4 linked regions of the Drosophila melanogaster genome follow. Changing the gene in region 2 together with the main gene of any one other region gives a genetic interaction. Each region holds a gene or a part of one and is shown on either strand. Other genes may lie near its edges. The genes, in order: Delta, upd1, eyg and Csk.

Region 1 (6,586 bases), on a different chromosome or scaffold from region 2:
AGAGAGAGAGAGAGGCCCCAAGCTATAACAGTTTAGCGCAGAGCGAGAGAGAGCTAAAGCGGTAGTTGTTGTTGTCAGCTGAGCGCAAAAAGAGCAAAGCGTGACTTAAAAGTGAATTGGAGTCGCGTGTTTGCTGGTGTGTGTGTGCAAGCTTACAAGCTGCAGCTGCCAGCTGCTCCAAAGAGAGAGAGAGAGCACGAGAGCGAGGCTCTCCCAGAGCAAAAACTTGTTTTCAACGGCGCTTTGAAGAGGAGCATAAATATGCGCAAAAAAGCACAGAATAAGAAGCAGGCAAAATGAATTAATAGACAATCAAGCCAAACGATGCGTCTGAATTAATAAAAGAAATACAATAAAAAAGGGAAAGAGAAAGAGGGAGAAAAACCATTGAGTGGAAGGAAGGTTAGAAAGGTGGGAGGCGGCGGGCAGGGGGGCGTGTCCAGTGGAAAGCCAAACTAAACTAGACTATAAACAACAAAATGGGACAAACGAAAAGCGCACACACAAACAAAGGCGCAGAAGTTGACACAACATATACAACACAAAAAAAGCAAGACAAAACAACAAGCAAATCAATTTGCATAACACCAAACAAACATTCACACACACTCTAAAGATGGTGGGAAGCACAAGCAAAACAAAACAAAAAGTGCAATCGTTAAAACCACAATAGTTTTGTCCACCATTTGACACCAATTTTGGTTATAGTTTCTCACACTGTTTTAAAGTCCCTCCAAGTATGCGGTTAGTATTAGCAAGCTCTTAAAGGGACAAGTAGTAGATAATATGATGAATTAGCATTTAAAAAACATAACTTTCGTTCTAATAACGTAAAATATATAATATATTTCTCTTTGATCTAACTTTTCCGACTGTTTTTATCGTAATTCCAAAATGTTGAATGCTCAGTTACACCTTGCACAATCCGCCTCATAACTTTGGCATATGTACACTGGTAATGGTTCTCCTTCCGCTTTTTGTTTGCCTTTGCCTTCAACTATGAACTCCACAGCGGCTGAATAACCGAAAGGTAAAACTTGTGGGGGGGATCTACGAGGGGGTTTCGCCAGGTGGAACTTGAAAGCTGGAGCTGCCAACCTCTCAAATGGAAGACAGACACTTGTTAAAGTGTTAGAAAATAGTGCGTTGCATTGTTTACCTTTTGCTTGAGCCATTCTTTGTCTCCGTTTCTCGTTTTCTTTCTCTTTACTGGCCACTACTCCTATTTTTACTGCGATCACTGAGGCTTGAAGCGACTAGTTAGTTAGTTCTTCGTTTCTTTTCATTTTTTGCCATTTCCACGTCAACTTGCCTTGACTGACAGACAGTTGTTGTAGAAAAAAAAGCAGGGAAGAAGTTAAAACAACACAAGGGGACATAAAAATGTATGAAAGCACGCATTTTTATTATAATTTTCCCCGACTTTTCCTCGACTTTCCTACAGGTGTTTGCTTTGGTGCCCCTACCCTGCATGTTGTTTATTAATCATTTAAATTCATCATCATAATCAACCGTTAACAACGGGCTTGGGAAACAGTTACAAGCGCAAGTGAATCATCCATCGCATTGTGTGGGAGTAGTCGTCGTCTTCCTCTTTGGCTTCTAAATTGCAATTAATTATGTTATGCGAAGAAAGAGCAGAGCCGAGAAGACTACGAGTGCTCCCCCACGAGTCCCAGTCTTCATTCATTCATTCATTCATTCACTCACTCGCTCACTCACTCACTTCTTCGACGCTCAATGTTAATATGAAAATTGCATAAATGCGAAAACAAGGCGACTACGGTTATTTGATAGTTAAATTGAAATTTAAACGCAGCATGGGACAAGAAAGGGCCAAGAAATTGTGAGAATAATACCTTATAGAATGGGCAGAAAATTGAATTAAATTGCATTGCTAATGGCAAGCTAATTGCCCGAGATATTATTTTAAATGACAAATTAAACTATTCCACCTTTCCCTGTAAGTAAGTAAGGAAATGAGTCAGAATTATTGGGCAGATGTTTCTGCCTACATACGGGGAGCATTTTCAGCAGTCCCAAGACCCCAGGAGGTTGGCGTCGAGACACTTTTTTGGGACGTTGTTAAAATTAGCGACTAAATAGCAGACTGCAAAAAGAAGCTGGTCGAAGAGTGAAGTTTAAGCACGCAACGTGCCAAAGTTGGGAGAAAATCAAGAAGTGCGGAGAGCGGTAGAGGATTGGAGCACATGCAGGGTGCACGGTGAGTAAATGGGTACTATTATCAATAAAGAGCTCCCTATCAGCTTAATATTGTGGATCTAAGTTGTAATTTCTTCGTAGCTAAATAGTTCTGAACTATGAAATGTATACTATGTACACATACTATGTATGGTCAAGATTTATTATAATTTAATATTTTCTTATCTTTGAAACTAACCCACACATTAACAACAAAATATTTAGTGTTATTTTCTAGAGATCGCACTGTTTGGAAACCCTGCACAACTCTTTTTTTTATCCGTGTAACCAGGGGATGCTGGCGTTAAAGATCAATGAAAGCATGACAGAAGAGAAACAACGCAAGGAGGGGAGAGCAAGTGAGGCTGAGCATGTGTCGCGTTGACCTACGCAGAGCGAAAAGTAAACCGAAAAAAATCGCATGTAAAAAGCGCATGCAAAGCGGAGGGACAGAGGAGGAGATGACGGCGAAAACGGCAGATGTTGCCCAGCATCATCAACTTTTTAGCATGGGCTTGTAGCACAGCATTACTATATAGCCTCATATTGAAATCGAGCAGTTTTATCATTTTTTGCTGCTGCTCTGGATGCATACGCCGTTGGTGGTAAATTTTGACGTTGAGGCAGACTTGGATCATCTCTGTTTTTACACGGAGAACAATTAGTACACATAGTAGGATTTCTAAGAAGTTGAACTGATCTGCATGTCAAAAATTATCTTGAAGGTATTTCTTCTAACGTATGCCTCATATTTTTCCGCTGTGTACTAGAATTAAACCATTTTTTGGGGATGGACCTGTTTGGGCATTGGCCTCGCATGTTTCCAAACTAGTTTTGCTCTATGAAATATGTATGCATGTTCCGAAAAGGGTGATACGATCCGATCCACAATTTCCACCCCTAAAAGCCAACCCGCTTAAAATATCAACTCAGCTGTTTCTACCCAAAAGTTCTCGGGTTACCAGCTTGAAAAATAAGTTTGGAAGCAAACGCGATGTTGGAGTGGTTTCAAAATAGATATTTTGAGATGATCATACGGAACCCCAAAAGTTTTAAAATATTTAGTAACCTGGCAACCCTTCAATCGTTTCTTCCCTTTTGGCCCCACACACACACATGCGCGCACAACACACCAGCTGCAAAATTCAGCGGTGAGTGCACGCGTGCGCGTAGAAATAAAGAAAATAAATTGCCAAAAAATACAACTTGTTGGATGGAAAATGAGCGCTTTTCCTGGGACTGAAACTCACCTGCACGATGACTGTGAAGCAAATGAATGCTGTTAATAAACATTTAATCCAATGCATGTTTATTGATGTTTTTGTTGCTGATTTTTTGGATTGAGTGTCGCTTTTAGTGTAATAATCCACGGGCTGTGTGTGTGTGTGTGTGTGTGCGGCAACTACTCAAATTGTTTATTGTGTTTATGTTTTGAATTTTTTTTTTGGTTACTTGTCGCACATGGTTTTGCAATTCGCTTTTAGCATTTTCGTTGTTTTCTTGTTGTCGTTGTTGCAAGCTACACGTGCACGCGCCACATTTTTTGTTGCAATTTCCTCGACTGTGTTTATTTTTAAGTGTCGCGAAATAAAAGCTCTTTTCGCGAACTGCGGAGTCTTCTCCTTTTCACGCAGAAAAGCGCAAAAGGGAAAAGCGAGAGAGGGAACTAACGGTGCCGCGATTCTTAATCATTCGCGATTTTTTAATCTTTCGGAGGAAACACTTCTTGTTATTCTGTTAGAAGATCTTTTATTTTGATTTCTGGTTCTGGCACTTTTCTTTTGGTACATTCAAATATCGAATGAGAACTGCCCAGAGTCGCGGTAATCTGCAATTCTTAAGTGAACTATTGCATTGGCAGTTCGCGTCACACACCGAATATTTGGTCGCGTTTCGAGTCGGGGACTTGTGTTTTTCAAAATGCCTTGGCTGCGGAGCTGCCTTTTTCGAGTTATTCGCGCGGCCGAGTTGAAAAACGTAATGCCGTTCATGTCCACGACCAAAACACTATTCACCTTCACCGCCGCGAATCGTACTAAAAAATACCACGAAACGTACTCGCTCTCTCATTTCTCTCTTTCGCTCTCAAAACGAGTTCCGTGGCAAAATTAGTGCATTTCAGCAGATGCAATGCAACAAACCGTTTTGAATAAATAGTCAACTTACACATTTTAAAAACTATTTAAAATTTCAATATACATTACCAAGTTTATTTTGATATAAGAATTTATTATATTGTTTAACTTCAACCGGACGGGTGTTTATTTGTACAAATTTCCAAGATTGTCTCTAAATAATCTTCAAAATTCGGATTTTTTATTTCTAGATATTCTACTTTTATTTTTATATCTAAAATAAAACAAATCAATTCAATTCGTTTACGTTAGCAACATTTGATTCCCCGTTTTGCTAGCAGTTTCAGATACCAGTTGGATACCGGCTTGTAAGCATTTCGTTAGCAACATTTGATTCCCGGTTCGCTCAATTTACCGATTCAGCTCACGCGAAAGTTGAAAGCAAAATGCTTAGCAACATTTATTGTTGCCAAGATGAGAACCAAAAATAAAATTAAAGATGGATATTTGTATTTAATATAAATATTTGAATTTTATTATATTGGGTGCTTATAACTTATTGAATTGGCATGCAAGTATATCTCCATCATCTTCATTAGCAGGTACGTCATCAGTCTTAGGGTCTTGGTATTTATATTCCACCAAACTGCCGATCCAAGCATCCAATGTCGTTAGTATGATCAAAATCGAATGAGTTTCACTTCGCTAAAAACAACTTCTGCTGAAGACGTTTTCAGAGACGGAAAATGCATCATCATATGAATTTTTTTGGCTCTGATAACTTCTCCAGGACTGTCGCTCTTATGGAGGTGAAACTCCTTCGAGTTTGGGCATACTAAATTCATTGAAAGAGGATCCATAAACTACATATTAATTGTCCAAGCTGCTCGGTGGAAATTGCTGAAGATACCATCTAGCTAAAGGTTTGGAATCTCATTAAATATGATCAGAATGTACAAATATTTACAAGCCTCTGCCTCAAAGATCCATTGGCTCGGAAATACCATCTTGTGATAACATCTTCACTGCGTTGCATATGTTTGCTCCACAATAACCAAATGAACTAGAATCTCTATTGAAATAAACGATAAATAACTATATAACCAAACAATATTTCAAAATCAATAAATTTTGTTCTAAGCATTTTGTGTAATAGTAATAATTTTTAATACTTGCATTTATTTTCAACGAATATTAAAAAAAATAAAAATAAAATTTTTTTTTTGAATCCAAATATTTTCTAGTTGATATAGGACTGCCGACGATGCCGAATCGAGCTAAACTAAATATTTTTATGAAAATAGATTGAATATGATGTGTTCGCCTACTACGATTTCATTTTGGCTTTACAATTTTAAATAGCTGGCCTGATTTTCCAATTTGTACTTCCATTCTATTCTGTAAAAATCTTAAGGTAAAAATGCTAAGTCTGTACACCTATTTATTTTATTATTATTCCTAACAAATCATTAGATTCTTCGGTGGTCTCTGGATCCAAACTTTCGTTAAAAATTGATCCAATTACTTAACGAAAAGAGCAAGATTAATTTGATTCGATTTTTTGATCAAACATTGTAAATCACTCGAAAACAGCAGTTCATTGAAATGGTCTGATAAATGGGTCAGCAAGGCAAAGGGCTGAGAATAACATGGCCAGAACTCTCTTCACGCGAAATAAAGTTGTTGAAATTTGTACAATAAAAATCGGTCTTCATTAATTTGCATCGAACGAGGGACATTTGCATATGCATGAGACCAGGAGGAGACCAGACAGGAGACCCCAGAAAACGAAACCAATCAAGTCAACACCCAATTTTACAAGGAAATGCGGACCAAGACCCCGAATTTCTCCTGTCCGACTATAAAGTTCCCGCCGCGATTCCTTTTACAGTGAAGTTTCTTTAAAAGTGATCAGAAAATATATGCAATTCCTTCATTATTTGAAAAAAGAAACAAGTATTAATTTTAAAATAATAATTTTAGTTTGGCATATTTTAATAATAGTTTTATAATATGTATTTATATGTATTTTATCATTGACTTTTATTAAAAATAAGTAAATATTTAAAGTGTTACTATGTTTAAGTATTATCTTTTTAGAAACTACAGCTTACTCTCTTATTTCTAAATTCGTGTAGTTTATTTTGCAGACATTACTTTAATCTTCAAAGCCAATTCACTATAAAGATGTCCAACTGTAATGGCAATATTTAAACAAACATATATTTCGCGCAATAAATTTGACAGTAAAGTACTCGCACCGGGAGTTTTCAAGCCATGAGAAGAGTGAAAAGTTTTTAAATTAAACA
Region 2 (7,820 bases):
AACTGTGCTTAATCGATTTATTGTTTACAAGCAAAGGGTATTTGTATGAAAACTCAGTATATATATGGGAATACTATTATGTCATTGTAATAATAAGTGTATTTATTTATTAACAAAAAAAAAAACATTCCTTTTCTTCACATAGATATTACATGGAGCATAGGTTTCTAAAATCCAGCAATAGTTCGAGAATCGCATTCCATGGTGACCGATCGATCCATCATCTGGAAATGTTGGGATATTCATATCGCGTTGACTGGATTGATCGTACCAATAAATTGCAATATAATTGCGTTGATGGCCTAATTGAGTTGCCACTTGTCTGCCGTGCGATTGTGCCTTTGGGTGCACAAATTGAGTGGCAAACAGGACATGGGACCAAATAGATACAGATACATCCTGTTCGTGCGGTATAGGACGCAGTTTGGCGAGGCGAAGGCCGCTGCACGGTATGGGATTCCTGGAAGGTGCCGCAGGACAATAAAAAACACAAAAAGAGATTGGGAATTTGTGAGTTGGCGAAGAAAGGAAAAAGAGGAGCGCAAAATGGCAGGACAATGGCAAAAAGTGGCCCGGCACAAAGGACTGCACAAATGCAGTTATCTTGCAAAATTGTCGACACAATGCGTGGGAGCGGGACGGCGCAATGATGGGTTATTAAATGTTGTTAATCTTTTTCTTTCTTTTTTTTTTCTGTCCACCGCACCCCTGCGTCCACGGCCAGGCACATATTCAAATTTCACCGGGAGGAAGGAGGAAGGAGCAGGTAGTAGGTAGAGTCGGGCGGTGCGGCCGGGCCGTTATGACCAGGCCAAAAACAATGCCCCGAACGGAATCCGAAATCCGAAAACTGAAAACTGAAATACCGAAATACTGGTATGCCCGTCGACGTCGAGCCTCTTGGCATTTGCCTTTATTGTGCACGCTGTTTAAATATTTACCGAGTTTTACAATATTTATGACAGCTAAAAACATAACAACACCTACTTACCCAAAAGGGCTCAGGCCAAAAAGGGGACACTTGACACTGGACTATGGTCAAGAGACCCGAATCCGAATCCGAACCCGTACCCAAAACCAAAACCAAAACCGAACATAAAAACCATAACCCTGGAGCGGCTTAAAGTCTGGACTTCCTTCGATCGATTGCAATCAATAAACGGCTTAGGCGGCATTATAATGCATGCAGAAATGTTTTTGCTCAGCGTCTCGTGCTAATCCATTTGCATGTCAACATCTCCGTTTTGCCCTTCCCTCTGCCCTTTCTCCCTCTGTTTGGCCAGGACACTTAAGGACTCGCAAGGTAGACGGCAGTCTGCTTCCGTTCGCTGAGCGCTAATAATCCGAGTGGACTTGGCCATAAGTTGCCACTAAGCGCCCTAAACGGAGCTTGGCAATAAGCCAAGGCATTAAAAAGTAAATTTGCCTAAATCCGCTTAAAACAAAGCGGGGATTTCTCGATTCCAGACTGCAATGCAAATCGGTGACCAGGACAAGTGTAGCCGTGTTTTAGTTAACCCCGGGGATAAGCGTCAGCTCATCTGCCCCCTGATCCCGGCACCTTAGCATTCCCGCAAGAGCTAATGCCACCGATGATGATGGTGATCAGCTTTACGAGTATATGTAGTTCTGATGCACTTGGCGCGAACTTTCATTGAGTGGTTCCATTGATCACAGTCCATTCATTTCCTCTGGGTTTCTGGGCACAGGTAGACAAGCAGGTGGGGATCGGAATCGGAATCGGGATCGGGATCGGTTTCGGTATCGAGGGGAACTGGGAGCCTGACGTGCTAATAGTTTGACGCCGCTGGAGATCATAAAACCCATGACCCATGGAGGAGCCATAAAGACGCATCCAAGGCGCAGCAGAAAGCGAATCCGCAGAAAGTGGGTCAAGGGAATTGGAGTAATTGACTCCCCCAGGTATAGGGATTCAATGTACGCGAAAGTGTTGGCCACATAAGATAGGTTGGTTGATAGGTTTTTGATGGTAAAAGATATAAAAATATATAGAATTGAATTCGATATTCGGGTATTTCAATTTTGAAATATAAGATAAAAACGTTGAACCTCAAAATGGGAAGTACGAAGTTCTTTTCCATCATAAATTTAAGTATATCCAAATGGATATATGTATACCATTTATTCCCAAAAATGAAATGCAATCCAGATTTATTTTCAAATTCAATTCAGTTTATTGTTCGCTTTATTCCGCTGCTGGCTTAGTCATATGTCGGTCGGTTCTATAAATACGAAAATCGATTTCTAAGGGCGAGCTTAGGACTACGAAGGCATGGATGCGGCCACATGCCACCCCAATGCGATCTATATATAATATATATGTACAATTAGGTTAAATACGAACTAGTCAAGCACTATATCACAGATGTCGAAACACAAGCTAGCCTACGAAAAAAAAAAAATGTGTGTGTGTGTGCCTTAGGATCAAAGTTTAGCCTAAAGGATATGGATATGGAATTATGATCATGAATGCCATGGGTTAGCTTAGCCTACTGGGGGTCACATAGTACTCGATGCGGGTGCGGAATGGGCTACAAAGCGGGCGTGGCGAATAATACTTTCCAGTGGGTGGTGGTTGGCGGTTGCTCTTATGTGACTAGAACGGCAACTGCAGATTGTGGTTTCGTATGCTATATAACTATATCTCTCTCTCTATTTCTCTCTCTCTCCCTCTCTCTCACTCTCGACGAATGTCAATAAATACGGAATGTGGTAATACTTGCAATGAATTCGAGAACAGAGACTATGTGCTGTCAATCAAATAATTTACTTAAGCTACTATCGATCAATTAACGGTTAAATTAAGGATTTGAGGCTAGGGGTTTGTAGAACAGAGGAAAGGGGCGAGTCCTGAGGTAAGGGGAAATGGAAAGATATGGGAATGTTGTGTATGCTATTTCACGTGCGCTGCACGCGCTTCGACTGGCGCTTTCCACGTCTGCCACGTGCAAATTGGTTGCTTCCACCACCGGAAACACCTGCAACATCTGCAACTCCAGCAGCACCACCGGCCACTGGCTTGGATACCTCGTTGAACTCCTTGCCATTCAAGGTGGAGCTGCGCCAACGCTGCTCCAGTTGATCCGCCAGCTGCTGCTGCTGCTGTAGCAACTTTTTCTGGCTCCTCTGCTGCTTCTTGTGGTGCTTCCGTGGCCGACTCCTTACCCGCTTGCCATCCCGCCGCAGCAGCTGGTACATGGTGCGCAAAAAGTCGTAGTAGTGGTGCTTCACAAAGCGCATATCGATCGAGTCCGCCTCGCCCGCCGCCATGGATGCACTGGAAGCAGCACCACCCATACCGGGCCCACTCGTCTTGGAGCGCAGCTTCAAACGCTTGTTCATCTCGAGACGCGAGATCTGTGGCAGCTGCTGACCCAGCATGGTGGTGCCGCCAACTGCTGTGACCGCCGCACCACTGCGCCGCTGCTTCTGGCGCGGACTCTGCGTCTGGTTGACGGCTGTCTCCAGCTCGCAGAGGATGCGCCGCGAGCTCAGGAGCAGCTCGCGCAGCTCGCGGGCGGTGCTGGACTCGCGGGTGATGGACCGCTGATCCCAGCGGATCTGCTGGCGCCTCAGATACGCAAAGCTGGCCACGTAAGTTTGCATGTTGCGGTACCAGCGCTTTAGGGCAATCTGTGGAAGAAATCAAAAAGATGGAGACAATTGTGAGCTATTTTCAAGATACATAGATACAAAGTTGATAACGAGATAATTGAGCTATTTTCAAGATACATAGATACAAAGTTGATAACGAGATGGATTTAGTAACTAGTTTTGACAACTAAGTTAATAGATAAAAAGTATGACTGTAGGATTGCTTACCGTGGAATTGGGCTTGAGCTTGGGCAGGAACTTGTAGTTGTGCGTGTGGAGGGACCACATGGTCATGTTGCGGATATCTATGGCCGAGTCCTGGCTACTGTTTAGGCTGCGGTACTCCCGAAAGGCGTGGCGCTTCAGCTGATTGAAGCTCTGTGGAGAAGCAGATAAAATGGGGAGCGGATTACATATGGATCGGGTCCAAAGAGCGCTGCCGTTTGAACTCACCTGCCTGGGACGCTGGCGATTGAAGCGATCACCCGCCGAGGGATGATAGTTGCCACCGCAGGGATTGGCCCACTCCAGGGCGGTGGTGTTCTCGTCGAAGTTGCGATAGTCGATCCAGTTGCTGTTCCGCTTTCTGTGGCGCTTGCGCGGACTAGCGGCGCTGGCAGGGATCGTGCCCTGATTGGGATGCTGAGCTGAAGCCGTACTGGAGGTGGTGCGAATGCGCAGGCGCTCGCTATCGATAACCGTTAGACCGCCGCTGCTGGTGGTGCTGCGCCCCTCGGCGAGGTGGGGCAACTGGGCGGCAAGGAGCAGGACGAGTAGGATGGGCAGGAGCAGGAGCAGCGGACGAGCCATCGCCGCATGGTAGCCACTTTCTCTTCTGCGCCGGAATCCGTTACCGCTACCGCTACCGCTTCCGCTGATGTTTCCGTTTCCGTTGCCGGCTGCCGTGGTGCTGTTTTTAGCTGTGGTCGCAGCGCACTGCCAACCAACTACTGTCCGCGGTCCGTATCGAAATCAGTGTGCAGATACAGCGAACGGGGTTACAATATATATATATAGGATATATGTGAAGGGTGGGGATGGGGGGTCAGAAGGGAAGAGATGTGGAGAAAAAACACTATGAGTATCGAGAATGCAAAAGTAAATTCAATTTTCTGCTACAACGCGCGACGACCAACGATCAACTGCTATCACTGTTCCTCCCTGACTAGATGGTTAACTAACTGGACTCCCTTGGGAGTGGATGGGTTACTGGGTGGGATTGGGTGGTCGGGTGCTTCGATGCTGGAGCTCTGAGGTGATCGGGATTACGGGTCGGATGATCGGCCGAGCCTCCTTCAATGCGAATGCAACTGCAACCAGACAACAGTCTCAACAATTTGGTTCGATTTTTTTAACATTTTCTCTATGTTTGTTTTGCGGTTTTTTTTGCTTTTCGTTGTTTTTTTTTTTTTGTCTTTTCCAGAGCGATATGTGTGTATATTGAGGGCGGGGAAACTTTTTAATTTAGACAATTAACTCGAGAGTAGCCTGAGCGAATAACGAAGACGTATCGATCCAAGTTTCGAGGATCTAATCTTCTCCAGGCGACAAATCTCTGCCTTCTGGCTTGGCTTGGCTTTAACTTCCAGTGTGTGAAAGTGTATGGAAACTTTTGAGGTTGAATTTTGGATTTGGGGCTAATTCTAAAATTTGAACATTTCAAATTCTCCATTCAAGTTAGCTACTTTATCTGACAGGATTAAAATTCGAGACTGAAGATCGTTTGCTGCTAAAAACGAACGGAAAGGATTCGCACAAGTAACAATATCCTGAATGGATTTGCATTTTAATGCAGAGCGAATTAATTAAACTATATAATTTAATCCTAATTCCCAAAATTGCAGTTGCTGTCACAGAATGTCCTTTTTGCTTAACAGTAGATCGTTGGTCGTTTCTTGTTGATAAGTCACTTGAAGAGTGGAGAATTGATATTGACCAAAATATCCTTTTCGATCGCTTCTCCACTCTCCAATTGTGCCTGCTCTTAAGTCTTGATCAAATTAAAAATAATACACACACCGCATTATAGATGAAAAATGGAATCGTTCAGGATCCTCGCGGGATCCCCGTGGTTTGTGCTGCGCCTGAGCTCCCAAAAGTCTGTACGTTAATCCAAATGTTCGATGATCGTTCGAGATTCGTTGTTCGTTGATTTTCCGGCGGTTTTCAATGGACACACTTGCAGCACAACACTCGCAAAAAAATGTATTTATATATAATATTTGTGAGACCACTTGACCACAGATCGAGTTCAAATCCGTGCTTCAGTTTGTGTTCTGATTTGGTGATTTCGATGCTTTGGAGACTGATTCGCGGACACTTCTGCTCGCGTTCGAGTGTGAAACCGAACTGAGCCCAAAGTCGCGCTGGATTTGACCAGCTTTCTTCGCTGAGAGGCTGCGGATACCAGATACCAGAATACCAGAGCGATACCGACCGACCACCGACCAACCGACCGACCGATGAGCAGCGCCAAAAGGCCGAAACCGAAACTGAAATGGGAACTGAGGCGAGCTGAGCGGCCTCTGCCGGCGTCGCTGCCCGCCGAGTGCCGACGAGCGGTACGCCATGGTCCGAGCCAGAAGAAGACCGCCGATTCGGACCGATCAGATTCAGATCCGAAGAACCGCAGGCTGTCCCGCTCCCGCGCCCGCTCTCACCGATCGTATTCGGGGTATCCTATTCCCAGGTCACCTGCACGTGTGTGCGTATGCGCCTACCTGGCCGAAGTGTGTATTGGTGCCGTCTTTGAGCCTGCCAACCGGCTGTCCTCGCGCGCCATCCCGCTCGCTCCTGCGGACCAGGGCGATCTTGGGCCGGTCGCCATTGCAACTGGAATTTTCCCACTTGCCCAATCCGCGTCACTCACTCAAAGAGCGGGAAAAGAAGAGAGGCAGCCTACCTGGTGCCCCAAAAGACCAGGCCTACCTGGCTCTGTCTCACTCTTCTAAGCCCGGTCAGCTAGGTCCTCTCTCTCTCTCCCTCTCTCAAACTCTCTGGGTGACCTTGAGCGGCCTGCTCACCCCTCCCAAAAAGTCCTGACATTCAAATCGGTCTAGAAAGTGATCAACGGAAATGACCAACATAACACCGCTATTCAGCTCGCTAATCCAGGTAAACTATCCATTCGAGAACTATCCACGAGGAACGTTAACCAATATTACATTTTCTTCAACTTTTTCTAACAACTAGTAAATTGCTATATATTTTGTATATTAAAATTAATTTAGTAATTATAAGGAATAAAGCGTAAAATAGGATAAAGCACTAAGGAATCAACCAATTGTGCAGTTACAATTCTTCTCAATACCAGTAGTAATATATATAATAATACATAATATATACATTTTTATAGTAATATTATTTATACGTGTTCGAACCACAATCAATATAACTGAAGTAGTGATTTTGGCACTCACAATCTATTATATATGTATATACCATTCAAATTCATTTGACATGATTCAAGTTGTTTAAATGAAGTTAATAATATACATATATATGCCTAAATCTGTTCGTATGGGTAATTAATTAATAAAGATTTACATAAAAATCGTAAAACATTAAGTTGTTTCATCATTTTTTGATACATTTATAACTCACCTCAAATTATTTATTTTGATAATCGCAGCGCTGATATTTGACCATCTCGATGAGTTCGGCTTGATATTGTCGCAATTCCGCTTTGGGTGGGTAACTAGAAGAAGAGTGTGAAATCTCTGGCCAGTGGGCCAGGTACTCCCAACTGGCGAACCCCCGGACGCCCATCTACCTAGGACATCCCTATGTCAAATATGCCCATATTTCTCCCTACTTTCGAGGGCTTGCACAATTGACGGTCTAATTAAATTGAGAGTTTTGCTGCATTATGGCCGCATTGTTTTGGGCAGCCGAAAACAGCTGTAGATGGTCAGATAGCGGGCCGAAACGGACAGCGGACGGTGTGTCCTTGCGTCTAACCGTAAGTGCAGCGTGCAGCAACTGCTGCAGGAAGCAGTTGTGTTGCGCAGCGGGGCCACTCGCCTTTATTTCGCCGCAAGGCAGGACGGACGCACAGGACTCGAATCTCGCAGGACCCACAACCCACAGAGAGGGACTCGCTCGCATATATCACATATATCAAGGTGGCAGCGCACACCTTTTGTGCGACCTCTCCTTTGGGAAACGGGCGGCAAGGCACAAAAAGGGCAATTCGCACCCGGAGC
Region 3 (9,606 bases), on a different chromosome or scaffold from region 2:
TTGCCAATGGAGGCACAAAAGACACACATGCACTGGAAAAAATTGTGTATAGAAAATGTTGAATGTTGTCGGAGGGACACTTTTTATTGATAAATACTGATTAAATTAGAATGGCAGATTCATTCTAATAAGTTCAAATAAAAATGATTTTTTAAGTTATAGGTATATCGTATTAATCATATTTCTATTTAATGAAATTTTTATCTGTGTACTTCGAGTCCGTCGGTGGAGCCTTGGTAAAGTTCATCGATTTCCGCCAACCCAAGACAATAAAAACTGCTCATACCCAACAGCGGGCAACAAAGATTTGGCAACAAAGTTGCAGGACAATCTGCAGGATCCTCGTGGCCCATCAAGTGGCCAACTGATCAGCTCGTCGAGGTTGCTGGATATACGAGCTTGAGATGCTGCATCGTAAAAATGTTTGACTGCGCGATTATATGGCGCTCATGAGAGCGCCACTTTGCCCTGGTCCATCAAACCAAGGCATCCTCCAGCGAATCCCTTGGAGCCGAAAATCACGTTGATGGAATCCCCAGGCCGTCAAATCAAAGTTAAGTACACTAAACGAAATCACTGAATGAGCGCGAACCCAAAAGGCAAATAAAAGCCGAATATACATATATTGTATGTATATATGTATATATATAGCACAGACGTGGCGCAGACTGTATAAATATCGTATAATGTATAATTTATGGGCCCGAGGTGAAAATATTTTCAATAGAAGGTGATTTAAATTTATTAAAGGAATGCTCACGAGCAGAGCTCCGCACTAAATTAGAATAAGTCGATTGGTGGTATGGCGATGGAGATGGGGCTGGGCCATTTGCTCATAAAAGCCCAAGCAAATTGAATTTGTGGACACCCGATGACCATTCCCGAGCCCAAAATTCTCAAATCCCCCAATACCCCCTAGTCCACAACTTCCAATCCCGATCCCGATTCCGTTCGGAGCTGTAAGTATCGACACGAATGGTGCTCCACGCTCTTTCGCTTATCAGATGCGAGGAGCTCATTTAAATCTCGGCCAGGCCAGAAATAAAGACGCGCATCCACCCGGTTAACCAACCTACAAAAGTCAACGATCCAAACCGATCCCATTCCAACCGATCGGATCGGATCCAATCCAAGCCTGCAAGCTCGCCTTTTGTTAACACCATAATTTACATTGATTTATGTGCTTAGTTGGTTCGGCATTTTTAATCGGTCCCCATACGATACCATATGATACCAAACCATACCATCCATTCTCATCTCCTCGTCGCGTTTAGTCTGTCCCCACTGTGTTTGTGCGCGCGGCTTCATTTGGTTATAATTAAAATGTCGATGTTATCAGCCAGATTTGGACATATTGGCCATTACGTTCGAAATTTAAGCGTTTTCTATGCGCGTATTTTGGATTTGGATTTTTTTTTTTTTTTTTTTTTTTTTTGATTTCGATTTCGTTTGGCTTTTTGTTCTGTCTTCGTTCGGTGTATTAATATTTAATAACGTTTTAAGAAGCTTTCGAGTGTTGTTAAATGCTTATTTATGCTTTTCGGCCGTGTTTGGTGTGTTTGTTTGTTGCCCAGTGTGTTTGAATGGATAATTATGCGTGAAATCGAACGTATAAATTGTATTTGTTGTCAAACCAAAGCGAGTCTATACAAACCGATTTCCTGGTCATATATTTCTGTTTGTTTATTGCCGAAAGAAAGTAAACGATTCTTCATTATTTCTTGCACTTTTTATTGGTTTCTCACTCAGCGGTTGACCATTTTAGTTTTTTTCTTTTATTTGAGCCAAAAACACTTAGTCTACGCACTAAATATCAGTTCAAACGCAACCAACTCAAGAATCAAATCCTTAAACAATACGCATTCATAAATAGATTTGGCTTAGGACTATTTTAAAGTTTAAAGTTACATATAGTTAGATATTGCATATGCTATAGCCTTAAATGGTGATGAGGTAAGTCGGCAGCCGGCGAATGAACAAGTATTATAGTATAATTATGCATAACTATAGGGTATACAATGGGCATGTGCATTTCAAGTGGGACAAGCGTGTTCGTATCGGGTATTAGTTACAATTTCAGCTAATCTTAAGCCGCCCATTATGTTGTTGCTGCTGCTTTCTGCTACATTTTTCTGTTTACTTTTTTCTATTTTTATTTAGTTTTTTTTTTCTTTTTTCTAGCGACCCCGAACCGCAGCCAAGTAGGTGAGCAGCATTTTAACTTTGGTTTTTCGATTTGTTTGCCCACTGTGTGTGTAGTCGCTTCTCGTATTTCAGTCCACCAGTTGCAATTTCAAATGCAATTGCAATTGCATCAGTAGTTGCTGTTGCTTTTGCTGCTTTTGTTTTTGTTGCCACTGTCAATCACAGAGGCGCGCACAACTCAGGTTTTCAATTAGACTTTGCCGCCGCCCATCTAGACCAGGTGGCCCTTGTCGCCCATGTCGCCCATCTAGCGGTCATGCTTTAGGAATTGCAACGTGGCCGGCGCATCGGAGGATGACAGGCGAGCCACCTTTGCCGCCGTTGCCGCCGACGACTCAATTTCACCATCGGAATCGTCGTGCACGTTGATCTCCTCATCCGAGTCCGATGACGAGTTGTCCACCGTCATGGTTGAGCCGCCAGATTGAGTGGTGTTGGTATTGGGTCCCGTGCCCTCACCACCGCTCCCCAAACCACCTGCGGAGTAGTGCAATCTGGAGCGCTGCTCCTCGGCGACCGTTAATGATGCAGCCACGGCATATTGCCTGGCCAATCCCAGGAAGGCAGCCGCCGAGGGCGAGCTCACCAGACTCCTGAAGGCACTACGCTCCCCGCCCATGGAGAGGTGATTCGCCGCCGGATTGCATCCACTGGGTGAGAGTTGCTGTTGTTGTTGATGATGTTGCTGCTGCTGCTGCTGATGCTGCTGCTGTTGTTGCTGTTGCTGCTGCTGGTGGTAGTGGCTGAGCAGCTGGAGGGCAGCTGGATGCGTGGGTAGGTGCAGAGGATGATGGTGATGGTGGCCGCCCGGAGGACCATGCAGTGGGTGTAACAGCACCGAAGGTGGCGGACCCTGTGGCGAGTGGTCACCGCACAGGGGCAACGGCTGCTGAGGTGGCGGCACGGGAGCCACTGGAGCGGAGGTGGAGGCACTGCTGTGGTTACTGGGCGTGGGCGAACTGGCCGGTGCATCGTTCGACTGCTGCGAGTGCAGCGGATTGGCGGGACTGGAGCGCTGACGCTTCAGGAGATTCATGCGTTGGTGGCGACGCCATTTAGCCCGGCGATTGGAGAACCACACCTGGAAAGGGTAGAAATAAATGATATTTAATAAAGATTAGTTATTTGAGGTTTTGGTTAATTGGCTTTGAAAGAGGTAACTCTAATTTCTGATATAAAAGTATTGATTTACTCATTAATTTAAATCAAATGGTATGTAACTACTTTACTAGCCACTTTTAATCTTGCTTTTTGAAAGTTTTGAGTGAAGCCTTTGTTTTCACCTGACTCACCTGAACTCTTGCCTCGCTCAAGCTGGTGCGACTGGACAACCGCTCCCTGGTGCTCACACAAGGATAATGACTCTTGTCGAACTCCTTCTCCAGCTCCTCCAACTGCTCCGGACTGAAGGTGGTCCGATTCCGCCTGAACTTGGGCTCATCATCGTCATCCAGATAATCGGAGTCTATGTGCCGGTTCTCATCCGCTGATTCCAAGGTATCATGGCTGCCAGAGCCAGGGGAGATGGCCCGATTGGTTGGTGTGCCACCTGCTCCGCCGGCCATCAAGTGCGCCGAACTGAGGGAGCCACAAGTGGAGACGGGCACAGCGCTCGCTGCACTCGGAGGCAGATTGGCGAGCGTGGGAGCGGCAACGGACCACAGGGCGGATGGAGGTGGCGGTGGTGGTACCCCCTGGCCGCCGGGCACATTGCCGGCCGGATGCCAGGTGAAGCTACCGTACGGATGAGGGGGTGGCGGGTACAGGCCATAGGCGGCGGTGCGAGCAAACTCGGTGGCCACCCGCTCGGCGGCTCGATTGCGCAGGATGCGATTGATGCTGCTCACCGATGGAGCGGTGGCATTAGTGCAGACACCTGCAAGGCGGGATTACGCAATTACCGAGCAGTCGAAGATCGAGATCAAAAGCTAAAAGCGACCGCCGATCAATCAGCGTTCAATCTGCGTCCGCGGATTAGCTGCAATTATGTGGAACACTCACCCTCCGAAATCAGGCGTTCTCGTATCTCCCAGGCGAAGATCGTTGGATTCTCGCGCTTGTACTGTTCGATCTTGGAGACGACCGTCGGCGTGGCCACCTTGGGCTTTGAGCCACCAATTAAGCCCGGTGGTCGCAGCGAGCCTGCAAGAATCAGAGCACAATTCCAGTTAAATTATGAGACAATGGATTTATGACTTTGCCAGCCTGGTTTTGGCAATCCATCTGTTTTTGGCTGGCAGCAAGGATTAACCCTGGTTGCTAATATCTTTATCTGCTCGTTTCATCAACATGTGATGTATGGAAAATATGAATGGGAAAACAATACAAGCCTTGGCAAATACACTGGTAGAAACCAGAGCAGCTCAAGAATTGGAAAACTTAAAAATGAGTGATTTTAACTACTTAAAGTTACTGTAATGACGGGTTTAAAAGACTTAAAAAATTCTAAACATGGAATAAATGTGATCACATATCCTTATTTGGAATTAAGCATTTTTTTCTTTCAGTGCACGGCAGCACGCACCAACCAACACTACCACCAAGGAATACCCGCTCGTGAATAAGCCGCATTTTGATTAATGAGCCAGCCGCGTTTTGGCCACCGCCAGTCAGGAGTTTATGCAATTTTAAGTGGCCAAATTACACGGCTGCGCACACGAGGGATACGCCACGCAGGGGATGGTAGGGGCAACTCGCAGGATAATAACATGTTTATCATAAAAATTAGCAAACAAATCGAAAACAAAGTACCCATTAGTTATCTGATGAGGGAAGGAACTGAGAAACTGAGCGGTCGTCCCTTTCAAGGGCTCACAACTCACCTAGCAACTTGGAGACAGCTCCCTGCTGGGTTAGCATGTGCTGGGCAATGTCATAGCCACGCAGTCCACCGAAACGTGAGAATTCCAGGAGGCGATGCTGTGACATCAGGGTGTTCAATGTGCTCCCCGTGGGTCCACCTGCACCGTGCGGAATGCCGCCAGTGGAGCCGCCGCCGCCAAAGCCGGGTGGTATTTGCACAGATGTGGGTGATGTGGATGTGGCCCCTCCGCCACCGGCTACCGCTCCCGATCCCGCTCCGGCCGCCGCTGCTGCCGCTGCCGCTGCTGCTGCTGCTGCTGCTGCCACGGATGCCGCCGCTACTGCAATTGAATGATAATTGGGTATTGTTATTTTATTGTGGCTTTAGCTGTCGCGGCCACAATGGTTAATTATGATAAATTAAGCGTTAATTGTGTTGACCGAACCGAAATGACTGATGGGTCCTACGAATATATTAGCGTTTCTATTACCCCAGCAAATGTCTAAGCTGATCGAATGGCCAAAATGGTGGCGACACGCAATCGAATCTTCCAGGCACGAGCAGATTTATCAAGCTAATTGATACGACAATGATCTCTTAGTACAAAAGGCGAAAATTAAAATATGTACTCAGCTGGATACGAAAAGAAAGCAAAAAACAAGTAGAAAAACAACTGTGTATTACGTTAATTCGACAGAATATTATATTTGCCTTCGCTTAAAAAACCTACATATATCATTCGGCTTGGGCAACTCGTCGCTCAAATTGTCAATTAGCGTTTTAAATGCGCGTTTCACTTTTGTTGTTTGTCAAGTAAATATTTTTAAAAAAATACGCGCACCTCCAGTCGTGCCTAACTGAATATACATATATGTAAGTATATGGGCCCATAATCAATTGTGCCGCCCATCAAATGAGAACCAGTTTTGTTTATTTCGGTCTATTTAAAGGTGAAAAGCAAGGAAATGGGACTGTCAAATGAGCCACGCAATTGGTAATGTGACATGCGTAACGATTTGTGTTTGTTTTAACTGAAGATTTAAGTTGGAATAACATAAAACATTTGTTATGAACATACTAAGTACGAACATGACAAATTTTAATCGCTTTCTTATAAATGGCCCACATTGTTTAAACTAGAAATATTATAAAGGATCACACTTATTTTATCTTCTGTTTAAGAAAATAAAAAGGCACTCAAAGTTAGTTTTACATAGACCTTTGTATGATCAATTTGATAATTTACATAATTTATCTACCATATACCATTTAAATAAAAAATTGTTTGTTTTACAGCGAAAAGTTAACACCAACTATATTCAAACTAAATGGATCTGGTTAAGAATTACACATAAACACATTTGACCCAGTTTGATACTTTATTTAATACTTTAACCGAAACACCGTTTTAACACACTAATTTAAACGATGCTTAGTTATTAGTTATACATAATTTCAATAATAGATTTTAGGTTTTATCGCGAAAGAACTAATTTGTTTAAATTAAAATTCGAACATTCCGGATTTGCTATCGAATGACATATTACACCTTTGACCCAGTTTCGGATTTATTTTTTGAAGATTTGTGTATATTTTCTTAAAATCCCCAAGCCTGGCTTTGCCGTCGGCAAGACTTCACATGGGCACTTTGGGGCACTTACCACTGGAAGCGTGAGGGGCCAGCGATGTGATGCGTTGGGGATGGGGCTCCATTTTCCAGTGCGCGGCCGAGAGGCCAGAATTAGCGACAGTAAGCGAGCCAAGGTCACGGTTTAAAGTCGGCTCAATCAACATGTCTAAGAATCGCTCTTTCCAATTCTCTTTATTATTTATTGTTATTTTATATTTGTTTATTTTATTAATTTTATTTGGGTATAACACAATCACAGTCACAAGTGTCGCACATCCAAGGCAGAGGTATCGATTATAGCGAATGCAACCGGAAACGGAAATGGAAACGCAATGCGGTCAATTGGATTCATAGCGTGCTGCTCACTCACACACTCGCATACACACGCACACAGATACACACACAGTGACAAATGCACGACAGTCGATCCCGACAGAAACAGTTAGAAAACGCTCCTGCGTATCTCTTGCTCTTATTTTTATTATAGAATTTGTTTTTATCGAATTTCTTGCGAACACTGCGCTCCGTTGAAACGTTGTTCACGCGAAAGCTGCTCTCAGCACAATGAGCGCTTGAATTTCACCTGGTCACCCGGGTCACTCCGCTCCACTCGAACAGTTTCACTCCGCTTTTGAGTGCTTTTCGAAACGCCAACCGGTTTACGAGTACCGTACTTTCATAATGGCGCCCGTTGAGGCAAACTCTTGCTCTCTCGCTCTTCTGCGCGAGAGCGGGACAACCACATGCACACTATGCGCGCACACAAATCAAACAATTATAAACTCGTTGTTGGTAAAGTGCTGAGTATAAACAGTGGCAAGAAGAAGAAGAAGAAGCAGACGAATGAAGAGCAGTGAGTGTGAGAGAGAGCGAACGCTTTGGGGAAGTGACAAGAAGAAGAACCAGAATAAGAAGAGAAAGAGGAGTTGGGGAACCCTTTAATTTTAACTACAAATGTAGTTGGGATACCATAGCACGTTTGAAGTCAACCTTTAGGTGCATTTCTCGCCTAATGTAATATTCTAATTGATTGAATTAACCGTACAGCTTAAATTGTACCATTTAGGAACATTTAGTTCGTAATCTTTACTGTTGAGTAATGCATTCAATTTATCGTTACTTTAAGCCAGAGACCATGGCCCCAATAAGTAGGCACTTTCAAATACCAACTCTTGATTATCATATCGATCTGTGTACAAATGAGCTACATTTACAAAAGTTCATGCATATGTATAATCTCTAACAATTAAGGCTAAAGACTGAAAAGAAGTTTGGCTTTTTGCTTACACTTCTAAAATAAATAATAATAATAAAATATTTTATTTCGAAATTATTAAAATAGCTGTAATATTGTATCAATAAAATGGCAGTATGGTATGTTTGTTTTACTTTTTATTTGATTCTACTCAGGAGAAAGACAAAAAAATATATATAAATAATTGGTAAATAATACCTCAGCAAAATATAAACATTAGCATTATAATAAAACAGAAAAGCATTAAATTGCTTCCTTTTTGTGGACTTCATAACTACTATTCCGCTTTTAAACTGACCAATTGCAATTAAAACTCGATTTTTAAACATAAACTTATTAAAAGAAGATTTAAGCCTGAAAGTCCTTTTTAAACAAACTAAATCGTTTATTGCATTGAAAGATAACATAAAATGATCGCTAAATAACAATAACTAAAATGCCTGCAATTTAAAAGAGCTTAGTAGCATATAGCCATTTGAAAGGAATTTTAATCCGGTCAAATGTGCAGTGAAGTGGCCAAATTGCATCCATTGCGATCCAGAGTGAACCTTGGACACGTATAAATCGCATGCGTGGCATGGGCCGTTTGCCATTCAGGTTTGCACTGCCCGTTTTGGGTCGTTGTCTCCCGGCCTTTGGTGCGTGATGGATGATTGATGTGCTGCCTGGGCAAGGCAATCCGATGTGAATCGAAACTGCAACTAAACTACACATGGCGTGATCGGGGAGCCACACAGATCACAGCTCGCAGCTCGCAACTCTCAGAACAGAACGGGGCAGAAACGGGCTACACCAAGTGGCAGAGTGGCCTGCACAGAAGCCAAATTGCATCAAAGCCCACGGATTGAGTGGCTCCCGGCGATGCAGGATTCGAATTGGAAGCTGAAAGATGAAAGCTGAAAGCTGAGAGTCGAGTTAAAAAGCAATTACCTGAAATGATTCCCCAATGGAATGAGATGGGATGAGATCAGTTGGGATGGGATGGGATCGGGTGGAAAGAGGAGCGAGTGCAGAAATCTGGATGCGAAACGATATGGTTCAGCAGAATCACCTGGCGATAATGAGATGTCTCACTAAGCTGATCAGAACTGCCTTTGTATTTATTTGTCTGTTCGAATGCAAAGTGCACAATGCACCGAACACTCGTGCATATATGTTTCTTCGATTTGTGAAAGGCGAATCATGAATGAAACGCTGCTGACGATGACGTTCGAGTGCCCTCATGCCAGAGATCCAGAGCAAACGCAAACAATCGAACAGGAATAATTTACTAAGTAAATAATATCTGGATACCGATCGCTGCACGGTAAGAAATTGCGTAAACCGGTGACCCATATTGCTCAGCAACCAAAGAAACCTTTCAGCACTGAGATATTTTTCATTCCATTGTTTTCTGGGATAATTTAAAGTAACAGAATTATCTTCTTACAACATTTTTTTGTCTTAACTTGACAGTAAGAGTTCTTAATTAAAGTCTGAAATTTTTAAAAATATTTTTTACGATTTTTTTTTACTAGTTTACTCAAGATCTATAGCAATATTTAAAGAGTTGAATCAATGGTCTCTATGGAATAGTGTTATATATGGTATATACATATTTCGTAACCATTTGATCCCAATTTTGGCCAGTGTAATCCCCGCGAGTAGCGTGCGCCCTCGCCCCATCAAGTGGCACTTCAACAATCAAGCATTCACACAAGCAGATGGTCCGCA
Region 4 (6,222 bases), on a different chromosome or scaffold from region 2:
ATTTTGATGGCGCAAAAACCTCTGGTTGAACTTTAATTGTATGATCCCTACAAAAGACCTTTTCAAATTCTAGTTAAAATTCTTTCCAATACTTTCCAATTACCATCTAATTATCAATATATACACATAGTGAAATCAAAATGGGAGTTGGTTCTAATGGATGCCATTGTGGGTGCCCAGTAGCAGATAGTACAAACATAAAAATTCGCCATTTCAGCCTGTTGTAGAACTGAAATCGAGGCTAATGCCCAGTCCGTAGTGGACAAAGCCGGGCAAATTGTTTTCGTTTCTAATAATACTAATTAAGGTTCTGTAAGCGCTTCGATTTGCCATCGGCCAGCATGTGGATACGTCGATTCTCCATCCACAATGGACAACTGGGCGGAATCGATAGAAAAGACCAGGGCAGATAATTGTTAGCAAAAAAAAAGCGCAAATGGAAAATTTCTAAAGAGAAAATTCAAGCTAAAAAAAACAAAGAGGAATGGAATAAAAGCCCGGCCTGGATGGAAAAGGTTGAAAACTAGATGATGAAAAAAAAACCGAGCTACGTACAGAAATTGACTTCATTGCGAGGAATAACTAAATAATAATAACAACTCTTTGCCATCTATATGTTTGTTTTTTTTTGTACTGGCTTTTGGCTAGCTTTTTCCTCAGCAAGTCAATTCGCCACATTAACGGTTTGTCAGCGGCTCACTGAAATAGTCGACAATGGCTTGGAGTGCTCCACAAACAGCGAAAAATGCTGGTTGGGCCAAATGCTGGTTCGGCATTCCATGTTGGCTTATTTCTCTGGGTTGGGAAAACACGAACCAGCCGCCTGAATTGAATTGGAATTCACTGGAGAGCTCTGGCTACATATTGTGCAAATAATTTGGGCGTGGGAACCTCGCAGTCGACGTCGACTGCGCAGTGAGCTAAGCAAAACTATTGTCTATCCCCTAAAGACAGGTGACAAATGTTGGGAAAGTTGGCGGGGAAAAGAGATATTTCTGCACTGATATTGCCATTTAGTTTGTAAGCAGCAGGATTCAATTATTTGCCCATCTTATGGATATACAAAGGGGCAGAAGGGAAGAGGATATCAGTTGGCTTTAAGTTTAATCTTTATCATAGAATTCCCAAATATTTGCCAACATTCACTGCATCTTCACTTTCTTGAACTTTCCTAGGTAAATGTCAACTTACAATTAACTATTCAAATGAGCCAGAATTGGGCACGTGGAAAGTGATTGCTTATCATGACCCACAAAGGAACGGTGGCGGCCAAATGAAATTCTCCGCACGATGGAGTGTTTCTATTTTTCGGAGTGGGAAAAGCGTTCGGTCGCCCAAAGAAGCGCACCGCACAAGAAAGACAACGCAACTAATTAAATAAAACAATAACAGAATTATGTATGACACAACGAGTTTGTGTCGCCGCTGACGAAATGCAAAATGAAAAGCCAACGCCACAAAGTCGAATCAAAATAAAGGCCAAAAAAGTCTAAACCGTTGACTGAGACTGAGACAAAGTGGGCAATAAGCGAGGAGAAAAGCCAAAATAAAACAGAAGAGCTAAAGACAATGGGTCGGGTTTTTGAACCTGGTCGAGATGCGTAAGTTTGCTGGTCCGGATATCCTCGAAATGAGCGTTGGGGATTTTGGAGCTGCGTTTCGAATAGGTTTTATTAAAACCTTGCGGCAATACCTGTTGCATACATAATTTTGGCAAGCGGAGAGTGAAAGTTTCTCGAATGAATACCCTCCTCTTTTCACCAAAACGGCAGCTCTGACTTGGAGCAAAAAAAACAAATGATCGGCAATTTAACTTGAGACAAAGAGCATTTAGCATTCGCTATTGTTTCTGACCATTCCGGCCAGTGGCTTAATTAATAAATTAATTTGTACAATTACTTTAACGTGCCTGGCACGCATTACAAGAAAACGAAAGAGTCCAAAGCCGAGAAATGAAATGCGCCATTGGCTTTCGAGTGTTAAGTGTGGTCTTTGGGGGGCTTTGGAGGGTTTGGGGGCACATCTTCGGCCAGTTTGGGGGTTAAGCTCGTCTTCACTTGTGTGCAGTGAATGGCAAATTGAATAAGTGGATGGAAAACACATAACCGAAGTGTACGGGGAGCCAAGAAAAATATGAGAAATTGTTTCACGCGTCTGCTGCAGTTGTATTTGAAGTCTTTTTTTCTCTATTTCTACATATATATTTCTTTTTTTGTCCACTTTCACTTGGTCCAGCCAGCTTGGAGATACAAATTTCAGTGCGAGATTCATGCAGGACGACGGATTAGTTTCTCAGCTCAGAGAGCGTTGGAAAAAACTAGTTACAGTTTAAGGCTCCGGTTTTGCTTTTTTCTTCGTTTTTTTTTTTTTTCTTTAGTTTTTTGTTGGCCGATTAGACCGGCGATGACTAATGCGCTGGAAAATTGAAAATGCCCCGACACGCCAGCCTACAATGTTTTCGAATTTGCAGTCTTTATTTTTTTCCAGTTTTTATTTTGTCAAAGTCGAGTGTCTGCACGTCGCCAAATCCAAAATTAGCGTGCAAATCGATTGTGCAGAGGGTCTTTTAGGCCGAGTGATTCATGCAATTTCGAGATCAGCTGCGCTCGATCCGCCGCAGTTGCATCTGCGATCTGCGATTTGGGATCGGATTAAAAAGTGCAGTTAGAGAGCGAGCAGAATGGCAGAATAAGCGAAGAAATTGCAGTAATGGGAACTTGTCGACTGGGGGAATTCAATCCACGGAGACCTGAGAAAACAATTAGCACTCTGTGATTGAAGTTGGCCCGAAGCAAACAAAAAAAAAAAAAAAAAAAAAAAAAAAAGTGGTAATCGGTGAGGGGAGGGAAGTGTACAGTACAGTAACATGCTGCCAAGGCACTTTCATTCGAGACTTTCAAACAATCAAATATGCAGCCGCGACGCGATCGTCTTCATTAGTTGCACACGAAAAAATTACATGGTTTGGCGAAGAGCTTGAATTTGAATGATTTTAGAAAGGTGATCAGATCAATTAAAGGCCACCTTGTGCAAAAATCATTGGGCAACCAAAACAGCCCTTTATTAATTTAAAATTAATTAATTCGGCATTCGATATGGGGTCTTGTGAAAATCCTAATCAGATTTAAACTAATTGTAGCAGTCTAACTACATAATTAATTGAAAGCTAAGCCTGACTTTGACCAGTAAGCCCTAAAATCAACTTCAGTTTTGACCGTGCATGCCTTGAGCAATTTTGAATTAATCATGGACACACTCGAAACACAGATTCATACTAATGTCCGATACATGTGGCCAAAACCCATAATTAAGCGAACATCCCCAACATGGCAAATAAAATCAAACAACAAACACACAAAGGTCATTGCGCCACCAAATCTCGAGTATATACGTATGTTCAAGCCATGCTGATCTTTCAGCGCTTTTTGTTTCACTTTCTTCGCACTTTGATAATGTTTTGCATTAATCACTTCCTTGAGGCGAAGCCGAAAAATAGCTCCCGCCTGTATAATTAATTATTAAATTATTACAATAGCGATATGAACAATTCGCATTCGCGCGGTATTACATCACGATAGTTCGCCTTTTGTGCCTTTTCGCTGAACGGATCGGATTATCAAAAAAAGGCCACTTTGCATACCGTCATAATTTATTGTTATTATGTATTGCAAAAAGCCAATTGCAATCGATTCACTCATTGGCCAATTCGCACACACGCGATGATGAGCTGCGCATGCGTGGCAAGCGATTTTATTTTTATTTTTTCTTTTACTATTCTCTCTATTTACTATTCGATTTTTGAATCGAAACGCGACCGCGCGCCTTGCCTGCAAGTTTTCAACTGAAAAGCGATGCACGAAGTTGCCGCCGCGACTGAGTCACGATAAATAAAACCAAAAACACAAAATGAAACGAAAGAAAAAAAAACACAAAATCAACCTCCGAGTTTCAGTTTCAGAGAAAGAGAGCGCCGCTTGCGAAGCTCAGTCTCAGATTTTCTTCGTGTTTTTGTGAGCCGGCTTCTTCTCTTTATCGTGCATTTATTGCATGCGATAAGACCAGTCGCTCGCATGCGATCGCCCACCTGTTGCACATTTGGCCACCGACTGACGGTTCTCCTTTTCGCAGCGTCGCGCTATGGAAGTCAAATCGAAACATGTGTTGCCCAACTCATTAGGCCGATTTTGGCCATTCAAGTAGCTGCTGCGGTCTCGCTTTTGGCCTAGCTAAAAGTAACCCACTCTGCGGTCGCCTATATTTACACGGGAAAACTTAATTAAAAGAAATTTAGTTTATTTAATCGCATTATTAGCGATCCCAAGTAAAAACTAAAGAAAAATTGTAAGACTTACATATATAATTTATTATATTATATATATCAAATTGTACTTTCTACATAAGCCTAACATATTTATACCTTAAATTCATTAAAATCATTACGCACAGTGCACTTTGTGATATCGGAGATTCAAGAGGCAAAACGATCACAGCTTTGTAAAAACACACATCCAGCAACATTGGAGGCTTGTGACTCGGATCGATTTCCTTTCTGTTTCGTTTATTTGGTCTAATTGCCGCCGCTGGCCATGTTAATTAATTCCCCCATTATTGGTCGCACAAACCCCGTGCCCCCCGCCACACTCCTTTTCCCAACGACTTGTATGGCAAATAGTTTTTCTCTTGCATGTTTACTTTTCGTCTCCGTTTCCAGGCAATTTGTTGCCGCTCTCGAATCAGTTGTTTGCAAAAATGTAGACATCAAAATGTTTATTGTTTCTTTCGCATCCAGCGCTTGCAGTTCCAATTGCAGTTGCAGTTGCACAGTTCGTGATTTTCTCCGATTTTTCTCTTTTACATTTCTTGCATATTTGCGGAGCAATTAGCATCAAGTCGGAACCGTGCTCATGCACCAGCTCTCCCAGCGAATTTGCCTGGCGAACCCGAATGGCAAGTAGATCAAAAGGCGAGGGATTTGTGCTAAAAATACCCGCAAAAGCAACATAAACAAACAAACAGATGGCAAGGAAAAAATAACCTTTAATATGCGAAGAAAATGTGTCCGCTGGGCAACAAAACGAGGAAAGTAATAATTTCAAGAATGCGAAACATATGAATGTATCTACATATATCAACGGTTCCAGATAAACATAAAGTACACATTTCTGCACCGCGTTCCCAGATAAACGTAAATGCATATTCCAGCTGTTTGATGATAAGATTAAATGGTCGATAGCCTTTTTTTAATACGATAAAGTCAACGTAAACAAATTGTTGAACGGTGCATGGATTTAGGCTTTCTTCAGGGAAATGTATTTTTTCGTACGGTTTAAATTGGATCAGATGTTTTGGCAGTTGTTCAATAAGTCAAAATTATATGTATATTAGACAGCCACAATGGAATGCATATAGAAAGGCATTCACGTAATTATTTTAGACATCGCTAAATATGACTAATATATAATTTGAACTGAATATATATCTCTATCTCTATCACCTGCCCAGCCCTAGAAGTAATGGCGTATGACCAATCGGAATAAATAAAATTGCAAATTCCAATTAGCATTCCAATCAGTCCCGAGTACAGTGGTCATGCAACGGCGTAATTAGCGCAAGTGAAAATGGGCAGAGATAGATAGTCGTAATAGGCGCAATAAAGGGAATATTGAACAGTGGGCGCCAAAAGTTAGTACATCATCATTCCAATGCGAAAAGTTCACGCAACACTGACCTCACACAGCCAAACTTGCTCACTCACACCGATACAGTTGGAGTATAACGCCCACGCATGTTGCAATACACAAACAAACGGGATACATAGAACCCCGGAGAGAGAGAGAGAGAGAGAGAGAGAGAGGGAGAAGGGGGGGATGACAGTGGGTAGTGGGGGGAGCTTTGTGGCGCCTAGGTGTGACGTCAGCGACCGAAAATTTTTGCCGACGACGCAGAAACTGACCGAAAGACAGCAACAACAAAAGGCATTACTATGAACGGAAACCCGTAACAAAAACTACGATGCGCCACGCTTCGGTTATTGCCTTTAATTACTACTGTGGCTATCGGTTTTGTTGTACGCATCGCTTCGGTCATTCATGGCCCGATTGTTGGCTATATCTATATATGAGCATTTCTGTATATAACTTCGTGTGTGCGTGTGCGTGTGCCTGTGCATGTGTTTGTTATTCAAAAAATAAAAATAAAAAACGAACACAACAACAATGAATT

What was found.
Region 1: of upd1 (region 2) and Delta, changing one suppresses a phenotype caused by changing the other (phenotypic suppression), as found in Drosophila melanogaster (2 studies listed by BioGRID).
Region 3: of upd1 (region 2) and eyg, changing one suppresses a phenotype caused by changing the other (phenotypic suppression), as found in Drosophila melanogaster (one study listed by BioGRID).
Region 4: of upd1 (region 2) and Csk, changing one enhances a phenotype caused by changing the other (phenotypic enhancement), as found in Drosophila melanogaster (one study listed by BioGRID).

The regions. Positions count from the first base shown.
Region 1 is NT_033777.3:19,322,030-19,328,615, forward strand, and holds the start of Delta (delta), read right to left. Parts: upstream 4,189-6,586; 5' UTR 3,510-4,188; coding exon 3,453-3,509; intron 1-3,452. UniProt on the Drosophila melanogaster protein: Acts as a ligand for Notch (N) receptor. Essential for proper differentiation of ectoderm. Delta is required for the correct separation of neural and epidermal cell lineages.
Region 2 is NC_004354.4:18,303,175-18,310,994, forward strand, and holds upd1 (unpaired 1), read right to left. Parts: upstream 6,118-7,820; 5' UTR 5,635-6,117; intron 5,086-5,634; exon of another isoform or gene 4,563-5,085; 5' UTR 4,426-4,562; coding exon 4,069-4,425; intron 3,994-4,068; coding exon 3,844-3,993; intron 3,655-3,843; coding exon 2,920-3,654; 3' UTR 2,180-2,919; downstream 1-2,179.
Region 3 is NT_037436.4:12,460,817-12,470,422, forward strand, and holds eyg (eyegone), read right to left. Parts: upstream 7,206-9,606; 5' UTR 6,803-7,205; coding exon 6,670-6,802; intron 5,349-6,669; coding exon 5,028-5,348; intron 4,348-5,027; coding exon 4,207-4,347; intron 4,082-4,206; coding exon 3,498-4,081; intron 3,287-3,497; coding exon 2,453-3,286; 3' UTR 1,721-2,452; downstream 1-1,720. Other genes in the region: CG32102 (uncharacterized protein), read right to left, coding at 8,341-8,607.
Region 4 is NT_033777.3:11,643,148-11,649,369, forward strand, and holds the start of Csk (C-terminal Src kinase), read right to left. Parts: upstream 3,830-6,222; 5' UTR 3,699-3,829; coding exon of another isoform or gene 3,641-3,698; 5' UTR 3,569-3,640; intron 59-3,568; 5' UTR 1-58.